3 linked regions of the Alligator mississippiensis genome follow. The protein of the gene in region 2 purifies or fractionates together with the protein of the main gene of each other region. This does not show direct contact. Links are inferred from orthologs where the notes say so. Each region holds a gene or a part of one and is shown on either strand. Other genes may lie near its edges.

Region 1 (3,745 bases), on a different chromosome or scaffold from region 2:
TTCCCCTCTGAAAAGGGCAGGGTGAGCTTTTCCTTTTTTTTTTTTTTTTGGTAACACACATCTACCTACCAAGCAAGTGCTTTGGGGATGCTCTAGTGCAAGTTGCCTATGAAAATGCTCTGTTGGTTGGCAACTAAGTTTAGGAAAAGACCAAGTTGATCTATTAGTTTGCTGGTTCCTGATGTTTCTGGCTTTCAGCTAAAGCTCAGAGAGACCAGAAGGACCTAGCTGAAGGGCTGTAATGGCTTTCCCTATGGAGTAGTTGCCCTGGCATTCCCAATTAGAGAGAGAGAGAGAGAGAGAGAGAGAGAGAGAGAGAGATCTCCCTAAAAAGATGTCTGTGTATCCTTATTTAAGCCCATCATTGAACTAATAGATTCCATCACTGAACCAATCTCCTCACTTACACAATCTCTAAATCCTATAAAATCAAATAGGGATTAAACCAAATGATTACCAAGACCTGTGCAATTCAGGAAGCAAAGAGAGGTCTGTTCTGTAGGCTGGCTAGAAACCTACTGCAGGCATAAAGACATGTATTAAATTCTGCAGGATGGTCCCAAAAGAAAAGTACTTTGTGGTCTCTGTAGGCCTTTTCCATAAGAGGTCATCAGGAACAACCACGGCCACCAGGAGACAATCTGTTTGTGAAGAGCAGTTGATGATTTCTGTGGCAACCTTTTCTTCAGCTCTCGTTCCACATCTCAGTATGGAGCCTTTTTAGCAGAAGGTCTGCGTGCATTAAAGGTTGTTGATTTGAGGTTTTCTTTTTCTCTCTCTCTCTTCTTTTATTCCCATTTATTTTAATATAGATTTTTTTTTTTTCCACCAGAAAAGATGCTGTGATGCCACCATCTGTCCCAGCACTGGAAGGTTCTGATGGTTATTACAGTCACTTTAATTTGCTTCCTGCTTGTCCTGCTGCGCTGAAGTGTGAGGAGCAATACTTAAAGCAGTTGATTTTTTTTTTTTTTTCTATTTATTTGGAAGGGGGGAGGCAAGAGGCTGGGGTTGGTGTGTGGAGGAGGGCAAGGTGGATTTCAGACAGAATGCATTTTAATTTACTACCCTATTTCTTTTTCAAGGTTACAGTAAAAAAAGTAACATCTGTCACACAATCACTTACTGCTAGAAGACCATAAAGAATCGGTTGCCATTTCTCAGGCAGAATAGTGGGAAGTGACACGATCTCAGGGATATGGGCACAAGGCAGGGTAGCATACTGGATTTCAATGCAACTTTGAAGCCTGCTCACACAAGAGTGAATCATTGTTATAGCTGTTTTGCCACTGGGGAAAGTGAGGCACAGAGATAGGGATTGAATCCTCCCAGGTCAGAGCTTCAAAAGGAGGTTTGAACTCAGATATTCTGATTTTCATGAGAGTAGCAACCATCCAGTAGTTAGGGCCTAGCCTAGGATTGAGAAATACATCAATCGGCTGCTACAACAAAGGAAGGAAGATATTGAGAAATAAAGGGAGAGGCAGTTCTGTGAATTTTATGGCTGACCTGGTCCAGTCCCATTCATCGAGGTTCCCTTCTGCTCAGCCGGTTCCTAGAGCCAGCCAGGTCTCTTCATTTGCTTCTGCTAATAGAAGAACATGTTCTGAAGGTGGGCCCAAGCTGCAGACTCCCACAGGAGTTAGGGATTTCAGGGTTAATTCTCACGTCTAGCACTTTGTGACATTCTTCAGCAGCGTTGTCCAGGGCAGTTCTAGCTAGGACATGATGGGAGAGCACACTTGAAGCTCACAGTCAATTGGGAGGCACTACTGTGCCAAATATAAGCAATCAGGAGTAGAGGCACCCATGTTGGAAAGGCCAGGTGTGCTGATTTCCTAAAGTGAAAAGCGCCCACAGCTCTTCCTGGCTCCAGCTGGAGCCATACATTTTTGGTATCTTAGCAAAGCAGGGTATGAGTGGTTGGGTACTGAAAAAGGTGGCAGCTGCCCTTGGAACTAAAGGAGGTCGAGAATGTATGTTGAATTTCAGCACTAAGGGCATCCTGTATGAGTTATTTAATCCCAAGCCAGACAAGTCTAGTGGCCATCACCCTCAGGGACCCAGTCAATCCAGACTATCAGCCATGACCATAAAGATAGGCAGTTTTTCAAACATGACCCATGCAAAAAACCTTTCTAGCCAATGCAGAACCTTGGAAGGAAATGGGAATCCAAGGCCTTCCAGTGGGTGACTGCTCCAGATGTATTATTAAGTAGTCTGGCAGCTGCTTTCTGCACTAGCTGGTCTGCAGGGCCCCTGCAGTAGCAGTCTGAAGGTGGTTAAGGCTTATGTGAGTGTAGTGGGACACCCAGGTTTGAGAGAGGAGGCTCTTGCCAGCCCTTGAAGGTTAAGCTCTGATGGTTCACCTTCACATCACCCACCCTGGGCAGCCCAGTACATGCCAGAGTGCTGCTAAGCTGGTTCCTCCCCATCTAGCAAAACAAACCACAGATGTGCAGCTTCAGCCCCCATCACAGCGATGACTGTACTTGTGCTGGGCACTGCAGAAACAGGTGCAGCAAACAGTGCTCAAATGCAACTGAGACCTGTAGGCACTAATGCAAGACAAATTCTCATTGTGGAGTTCCCTGTTGGGATGCAGGGTTGGCTATTTGACTGGTCAAATAAAGTTCAGTGAATTGATTGGTCAAGTGTCAGTCAAAAACTGATATTGGTAAAAAAATTGCCAATAGGTCCAAATAATACACAGAAGAGGCACAAATTTTCCGTCAAGAAAAGTGTACAAAAACCCCAATTAAAAATCATATTTCTGTCAAGAAAACTACAAAAATGTAGGGTTTTTTTGTACAATTGCTATAATTTTTGGTAAAACAATATGTGGTCAATTGATTGGCTTGCCAACCTTAGTGGGAAGTATAAGCATCCTTAGTTGGCTATGGCAGGAGCAGTTTGTAAGAGACTTCCAATTCAAGGGACCAGAATACTTATCCTTCAAGTGAAGTCAAACAGCAGCATTTCATTTTACTTCGGGGTAGATTTCCTGATCCAGCCCTCAGCCAGGTCCATTGACATAAGATTAGATTTGGACCCCAACAACTCCATTGTGATTTCCCTTAGTAAGGGAAACCCCTATATTACATTTGGTCTGATTTGCTACTTTCTACTTAGGACCAGATTCCTAAGACATTGGCTGGGTTAGCACAAAGAAATAGAGACTGCTTGTATAAAGAGCTTGTCTCTGATTTAACACTTAATCAAGGAACGGATTTTCCTTAGTGTTCAGTACCCAGCAGTCCCCGTGATGATGCTTGCAGCTAGATTTCCACAAGTGCTTGACAACACCCAAGGCTCTGGGCACATTGAAGGACAAAAGCAGCTTCTTTGGGAGTCTAAATGGGAACATTAGAGCTTTTTTGCAAAATCTAGCCCTTAATTTATAGGCACAGAATAAAAAATAGACAATTTATTTTAAAGAAACAAGGTTTTTTATTCCCACCCCCCGGATTGTGGTGGTTTCTGGGGTGGAGGCCAGTCATGGCTTCTGTGTGCATCTGAAGATAATTTCATAGATTTCATAGACATTAGGGCTGGAAGGGACCTCAGAAGATCATCGAGTCCAGCCCCCCGCCCAAAGGGCAGGACGTCAGCTGGGGTCATAGGATCAAATAATTGCTTTGCTAAATTATTTTTCACTTTTTAAAAATATAGATAAATTGGCTGTTGTACAGTTTACATTTCCCACTGTGGAGACAAATACTTTAATTAAAGAAAAAACCCCAAA
Region 2 (3,745 bases):
ATCTCAGCGTCTCAAATGAGGCCCCTCTCTCTGCCAGGCTGATGTCCATGCCGCATTGTTCCTGAGCTTCCGCCAGCAAGCTGCTCAGCCGCTCCCCCAGGCTCCCCTTACTGGCCCTGGCAGCTTGAATGGCAGCTCTATAGGCGCGGATTTTGGCTTCCTGACTGCACACCTTCTCCTCTACCAGCAGAGAGTAGATCTGTGCCAGGACCCACAGCGCGCTTGCATCCAGCTGGGGCGTCCCTGGGTCCACACAGCCTGCTGGCACCCCTGCAGACCCCAGTCTGGTCCTGCAGACATACAAGGCTCCCGTGTCCTCTCCCAAAGCATCCAGGCAGATCCTAGCCTCTGCCTCCCGCCCCAAAGCCAGCAAGACCATGGCTTGCAGTAACTTACTGCTGCTTGTGCTGGGTCTCATGTGCTTCAGCTTATGTTTCAGGCTAATGAGTCTATTTTCGGGGATCCTAGATAAAAGACTGAAGACGTCCTCAAATGTGGGCTGGGTCTCTGCGCTCTCTGCCATTGCATCAGCTGTTTATTCAGACAACGCGCCGAAGAAGCAGGGGATGGAAAAAGCATACTACTCTCTCTGGGGCCTGGAATAAGCAAAGGCCGGTTTCTTTTCTACATTCTGTGCGGTGCTTGGCAGGCTCTGGGTGCTACACATCCTCAGCGGCTTCTCTCTCTCCCCAGGGGTTTCAGCATTGTGGTGTCATGCTGTTGTCCCTTCCCTCTTCAGAGCTCACCTGCCAGACCTGTGAGAGAACAGAAAGTTACAGAAACGTGACGGGCAGACAGCCTCGTGCTCCAGCCTGGACTCATCTGAGATCACCGTCTGCACCGTGCCTTAGCAAGAACGTCACTCCTCGGTCGTACCCCCATAGTCTACCATTCACTTTGCGATCCTCGTGGTAAGCTCATAGGAAGGCTCTACATGGTTCCCATGTATCCCTGCAGTAAGTGCTTTAAAATAATAATGGCTAAATCGTTAACTGGTTGGGCTGTCAGAGACTAAACCAGCACCCCCCCACCTGGGCTAGCCTGGGTAGGAGGGTGTGTGGACACTCAGCAGGACTAAAAACAAGACCTGTCAAAGGGCAGACAAGCCCAGAGTCATCCAGAGCTGGACAGGAGATGGACACCACCAGGTCACTCTGCCCCAAGAATCACCAGCGATGCAAAGCAATTCAACTAACCTAGGAGGGTTGTTACCGCGTCTAAGGTGCCCCAATGGGCACACAGGCCTCGGGACTAACTTGACTTGAAATCATTAACAGATTTAGGTATGTCACCCAACTGATCAGAGCAACAATCCACCATCTCACCCGGAGTCCTGTCTGTGGCTGCAGCTAACACCAGATGCCTTGGGGAATCCTCGTTAACCAGCAGCTATAAAATCAACTGCCCAGTAGAGAAACTTCTCGGTGGCTCCAAGGTTATATCCACCAAAGGATGTGCACTTATTCCCCTGGCAAACAGACTTGTATCCACTCAAACGCCGTTGCAGACCCTCCTGTTATCCATGGTCACACAGCTAAACCCTGGATCCTATTACACTCTTGGACTCACCCTCGCCTTCTGGCAGCAAGTTAAATTTAGGACCAGACCTCACTAGTAGCCTGGACAGACCTGGCCAAGGAGTGGAAGGTCTGTGGGTCAGGCACTCAGCAGAACCGCTGCTTACCAACGCCTGCTCTTGGTCTACCTGGCTTGCTGCAAAATCTCTCAGCATTTATAAGAGCATCCCAAAACACAGTGTTTCAAAACAGCCCCAACAAGCCAGATCCCTGGGGGAAATTTACAGTTTCACCCTGTTTTTAAGTCGCTCGGGGTTTTTTTTTTCCTAGCTTGCAAAAATCCTCCAGTTGCTTCATGACAGATTGAACGCATCTAAAGTTGCATCCCTTCCCCTGAAAGATTGTGATTCACTGAAACTTCTAAGAAAAAAAATCCCCTTCGCCTTTCAAACAGGGGCAGCAAAACCCAGAGCTTTGCCACTGGTGTTTACTCCTTTCCCTTCGTGACTCAGACGCGTCGCACCAACCGGCCGAGTTTCTTTTTGCTCTGCTCACGCACCTTGTCCCAGAACTAACCGCTGCACGAACGTCAGACACTTCTGGGCTACGAAAGGAGTTAGTCTTTTCTTAAACGCCCCGTTTTAGGCGAGAACAGACAGAGAAATGCAGAGCAGGCCTCGGCTGGGAACCTCCCAAGTCCAGGGTCACTTTAATGAGGTTCTTCTTCCTGCTCCATCGCTTCCTTTGCCTTTGCAGACAGTTCCTGGCAAAGCGGGGGGTGGGGGAGCCGGGAAAGGTGCCCGGGCACAAGGCAGGGGAAAGGCTGCATCTCCTGGGGGCCCTCATTCCCATGCCCTTGCCTGCTGGAAGGCAGCTCAGCTTCTTCAAAAGCCCGGGGGATGCCAGCCCTGGGGGACCTGGCCCCACTGCCCCGCGGAGCCTTCCCTGGGGAGCGGGAGCCCAGACCTCGCTGCTGGGCCCGGCGCGTCGGGCATGGCCCTGCTCCCTGGGCACCGGCAGCCCCACCCCGCTCCCGCTGCCCCCCGGCTCTCCCCCCGCTGCGGGGCAGGGAGAGGGTTACCTGGGCGCCGCCAGCCGAGCCGAGCCGAGCCGAGCCGGGCCTGGCCTCGTGACAGTGTCCCGGGCAGCGAGGCTGCCCTGCCCCGCCCCGCCCCCCAATCCGACCTGGAAGCGCAGCGGGGGGCGGGGTGTCGTGACGCCACAATGGCAGCGGATACATTGGAGTTGCAACTCAACGTTCCAAGCGGGCGGGGCCAGTCCTGCGCGGGGGCGCAGCTGGGGGGCGCTCTGGGCCTGGCAGAGCAGGCGGCGCGGGGCAGCCCCTCGGCCGGGCTGGGCCGGATCCTGGCACGAGCCTCGCAGGCCTGCGGGGGAGGGCCGGGCTGCAGCGGGGGCACTGGAGGCCTCGGCTTCAGCAGGGGGTCGTGGGCTTGGCCCATGCCCAGAGACCCGCAGGGCTGGGGCTCCTTGGGAAGGGCCGCGGGCTGATCCGGGGCGGGAAAAAAAAGCAAAGTCTTGATGCCCATTTCATCTGGTCTTTCCTGCCCAAGTGCCAACGATCTGTCAGGCCCCCTTCCAGCCCCTAAAAGACGATGAAAAGGGGCAAGAACCAGCCGGAGACAAAGCGCGGCGGTGGAGCAGAAGCAGTGGCACGGCCCCTCTGCCAGCGCTGAAAGCCTCCATCCGCCTAAGGGGAGAACTGGCTGCCTTTGTTCGGCTCCAGCTCTCCCAGCCCACAGGGCCTCCCTCCCTCCAGCTTGGCGCGCAGGCAGATGCAGGCCCCACAAACCTGTCTGGATTTGGAAACAAGATTTATTTCAAAGCCAACGGTTCCCATTTTCCAGACACTCGGTCCTAGCCCAGCCACGTGGCTTGTCTCTGGATCCCTGAAACAAGCTACAGCCGCAGCAGGCACTCGGCACTAGGTACCCGCGCATCCCCCAACCCTCCCCTTTGCAACAGGCCTGGCCTCATAACAATGGTCAAGCCGGATCTATCTTAGTAACGCCCATAAAAGCTGCCCTGCGCCATCTTTTCAGTGACTGCTGAGCACTTGGGATGAACTAAATAGGGGCAGAGTAAGTTTTTGCGAATAGAATTTAAATGCACTGAAGCGATGGGGAGTACAAATCCCACAGAAAACTGATCCTTTAAAAAGCGCAGCTTCCAATTTCAATGCAAGAGAAGGGGCTGGTTATTGTGGAAAC
Region 3 (3,745 bases), on a different chromosome or scaffold from region 2:
GAACTCATAGAAAGAATCATAGAAAATTAGGGCTGGAAGGGATCTCAGGAGGTTATCTACTGCAGTGGTTCTCAATCTTTTTTGTACCAGGACCCATTTGTAAACACTGGCCAGTCCCAACTCAGTACCCCTCACTCCCAATCCACTGCCCCCTGGCTCCATGCCCCAGCCCCCCAGTGTGTGGGGCAGAGGGTGCCCCAAGCAGTCCCTCTCAGGCTGGCAGAAGCAAGGGAAAACCCATGGTTTCCCACATTTTTCTCCTTTTAAAGGAGAATCATTTTTTAAAGTTTGCTTGTGACCCGTCCATATATTCTTCCAACCCACTTTTGGGTTGCAACCTACAGGTTGAGAAATGCTGATCTAGTGAGTACAACCCCCTGCTCAAAGCAGGGCCATCACCAACTATCTCATCTGAGCCAAGGCTTTGTTGAGCCAGGCCTTAAACCCTTGAAGGATGGACTACATGGTCTCCTGAGGTCCCTTCCAACCCTAATTTTCTATGATCTAACTGGTTGCTTTTCATCCAAACCACCTCTGGGTAACCTGTTCCAGTGAGAGAGCTTTTCCTAATATCTCACCTCCATTTCTCTTGCTGCCACTTGATACCATTGCTCCTTATCCTGTCATCTGCCCCACCCCTGAGACAAGTCCAGTTCCATCCTTTTGGGAGCCCCCCCTCAAGGAGTGAAAAGCTGCTGCCAACTCCCCCCCCCTTCTTGGCTAGGGACAAAAGTTGCACATCAGCCAGTTTAAATGATCAGAAACTGGTTTAAACCTGTAACAGAACAGAAGTTCAGTGCACATAAACCAGTTTCAAAATGGCTGAAACTGATCTAAGATAAACCTGATTGAATGTAGTATCAGACTTTAACTGATTGAGGTCAAATTGGTTTACGGAGCTTCTGTCCCAGACCCTTTCCTGGTTTAAGCTAAACCAGAGTCCCCCAGCATGCTCTGCAGCCCTGGGCTGGGCTGTGTTGTCTGCTCCAGAAAGCAGGGTGCCCTGTCACTGCTCTCTAGCTGGAGCAGGGGCAGGGCTGTGGCCAGAGGCCTGCCCAGCATGGAGTGAAGGAGACAGGGAGAGGGTTTATTTCTCCCCTCCCTCCCCTCTCCCACTGGGGGACCCTCTGCCAGCCCTGGCAACTGTCTGCTGGTTGCCCTTGACCAGGCAGACCCTGGAGGGAGGGGGAATGGCAGGTGTAATAAATTCCCTTCCTGCTGCCTTTGCCTCGGGGGGCCACCATGCTCAGCTGGCATCTAGTTAGTGGCCAGGGTCTGGCCATGTTCCCCAGCCCCCCAAAAGCCTGGCAAAGGCTGCTTCCAGCCTCCAGGTACATCCCAGCTCGGGTCCCTGCAGGTCAGCCTGGTGGTTTAAACCCCTCTCCAAACATACTCAGGCCACCCCCTCATCTCGGCACCATGAAAGGGAAGGGAGGGCTTGCTCTAGCCCCCCCACCCCACCAGGCTTCTAGCCTGAGCCACTGCAGGCCTGTGCCTGCATGTCTGGGATCAAAAGTGAACGTCTATCTACTTGCTTGGCGGATCAAGCTCTGCAGGCTAGACTAACCTGCAAAGACTGAATCCATTCAGGCTCGGGCTTCTTGGATGGCTGTCCCCAGCTCCAGACTCAATCAGCCCAGTTCCCTCTGCCTCTCCTCACCCCCGTGCCCCAACCCCAGCCCCCTCCCCCCCTCCTTTGCCCAGGGGGCAGCGGCGGCGGCGGCGGCAGCAGCAGGGCACCCCCCCTCCCCTCAGGCGGCGGGGCCCCGTGGGGTGGCGCCAGGCCCGGGCGGGGAGGTCCTCGCGGCCAGGCAGGGGCAGCGGGGCGCACTTCGCAGCCGGGACCGAGGGGAGGGCGCTGGGCGACGTGGAGGCGCCGCTTTCGCTTTTGCTTGCAGCGATCGGGAAGTCCGCCCCGCCAAGGCCAAGGCCAAGGCGGACCCGCGCGGGCACACGGGGCAGCCTGCTCTCCCGCGCCGCGCGGGCCGGGGGCGTCTTACCCTCGTGTCCCCGCTCCAGCGCCGGGAGAGCCAAGCCCAGCCGAGGCGAGGCCTGCGGTGCCCCCGCCGCCAGTCTCCGCCAGTCGGGCCGCGGGGAGGAGCCGCCCAGGAACAGGGCCGGGCTCGCCCCGCGGGGAAGTCCGGCTGCCGGCAGGCGGGAGGAGGAGGAGGGCTCCGGGCGGCACCCCGGGGGGCCCTGGCACCCCTGCAGGGGTGTCGCGCAGAGGCCGCGCTGCTGGCTTTGCAGCCGCCGTGCACAGATAGACCCAGGGCTTTCAAACGGGAATCTGTAGTGTCAACAGCAATCTCACCCCTTCTGGGCTGCCTTGCAGAAGACTTGTTTATCTGTAGTTAAAAAACACACACGCGTGTGAAAGCTAGGAGCTAGCATTTTTTCCAGGGGCACCTTGAGTCTAAGACAGGTTGAGAGCCACCACCTTGGAGATTAACAGACTCTAAGGTGCTGGCCCCTGTCCTACCTTTTGGCTGAGATCAAGTGTAGCCTGGAGATCTTCAAAAGGAGACTTGGACGCAGACCTTGCTATGGTTATTTGACCCCAGCTGTCTTTCCTGCCCACAGCAGGATGGCTCCTTCCAGCCCTAAACTTCTGTGAATTGGTGCAATACCTGCCTTCAGACTAACAGGGAAGTGGCCTCTCTGAATCCCACGGGGAGGAGTTATCTCCGGAGCATGTTACTCAGCATGTGAGCAGTGATTCTCTGGCAGGAAGTTGTGGCAGCCCTGAGGCCTTGAGGTCCTTCCAAAGGTGCTGCGCAGTGGGAGCACTGTTGGGTTTGCAGCCACCATTTGCAGATAAAACCCAGGCTTTCAAGCAGGAATCTGTAGTATCAAAAGCATTCCCCCCCTTCTGGGCTGAGTTGCTTGCAACAGAAGAATTGGTCTTACTGTTTTTCTGTAGTTATAAAAACCACAAGTAAAAGCTAGAAGCAGGCATTTTCCTGGAGGCGCCTTGAGTCTAAAAAGGTTGAGCATCACTGTTTTGGAGGTTAACAGACCTTTCCTGCCTGTTGGCTGAGATCAAGTGTAATACCTGCCTTCAGACTAACAGGGAAGTGGCCTCTCTGAATCCCACAGGGAGGAGTTATCTCTACAGCATGTTACTGGACATCTAAAACGGGGTAGGCAAATCCTAGCACAGGTGCCAGAGTGTGGCCCACCAAGGCATTTTGCTTGGCATGCACATCTTGGGGCAGGCAGCAAGAAAGGGGCCAGGGCTGCACTGCCACAATGAGGATTGGGCCCCTTGCGGCACACCCCCCCCCCGCCATCTGCCTCTGGCACACCAACATCTTACAAACTGAGTTTGCTGGTGTTCTTGACAGTCCAATAACATTGCTGACTCGGATCTAGAGCCGTGATTTTCAGGCAGGGAGCCGTGGTGCCCTGGGGGAAACCTTGAGATCCTCTCAAGGGTGCCCTGGGCTGTCAGGTAGGCCTGTGTGATCAATTAAATATCTATAACTTTGTTGTTTTGCCTCTGATTTGGGTGAAACTTGCAGGGGTGGTGGCCCCTGCTGAGGCCACAAAGTCTGCCAAGTTTCAAGAAGATAGGTGCAGGGGTTTGGGAGGAACTACACTTCAAGCTGCTGACAGGCAAAACTCATGACATAGATGACCCACTGTGTGTTAAGGTGCAGTGGGCTGAAAACTGCAGGGGTGGTGGCCCTTGCTGAGGCCACAAAGCCTGCCAGCTGTGTGTGTGTCTCGCTGGGGGAGTCTGTCT

Evidence for each region.
Region 1: the proteins of TICAM1 (region 2) and TLR4 purify together in Homo sapiens (affinity purification with western blotting; 3 studies listed by BioGRID). This does not show direct contact. The link is inferred for Alligator mississippiensis from reciprocal best matches to the Homo sapiens genes TICAM1 and TLR4.
Region 3: the proteins of TICAM1 (region 2) and RIPK1 purify together in Homo sapiens (affinity purification with western blotting; 4 studies listed by BioGRID). This does not show direct contact. The link is inferred for Alligator mississippiensis from reciprocal best matches to the Homo sapiens genes TICAM1 and RIPK1.

The regions. Positions count from the first base shown.
Region 1 is NC_081835.1:55,042,880-55,046,624, forward strand, and holds the start of TLR4 (toll-like receptor 4), read left to right. Parts: upstream 1-836; 5' UTR 837-933; intron 934-3,745.
Region 2 is NC_081839.1:4,935,157-4,938,901, reverse strand, and holds the start of TICAM1 (TIR domain-containing adapter molecule 1), read right to left. Parts: upstream 2,730-3,745; 5' UTR 2,599-2,729; intron 2,547-2,598; exon of another isoform or gene 2,077-2,546; intron 756-2,076; 5' UTR 524-755; coding exon 1-523.
Region 3 is NC_081826.1:121,052,816-121,056,560, reverse strand, and holds the start of RIPK1 (receptor-interacting serine/threonine-protein kinase 1), read right to left. Parts: upstream 2,635-3,745; 5' UTR 2,480-2,634; intron 2,267-2,479; exon of another isoform or gene 2,001-2,266; intron 1,628-2,000; exon of another isoform or gene 1,568-1,627; intron 1-1,567. UniProt on the Homo sapiens protein: Serine-threonine kinase which is a key regulator of TNF-mediated apoptosis, necroptosis and inflammatory pathways.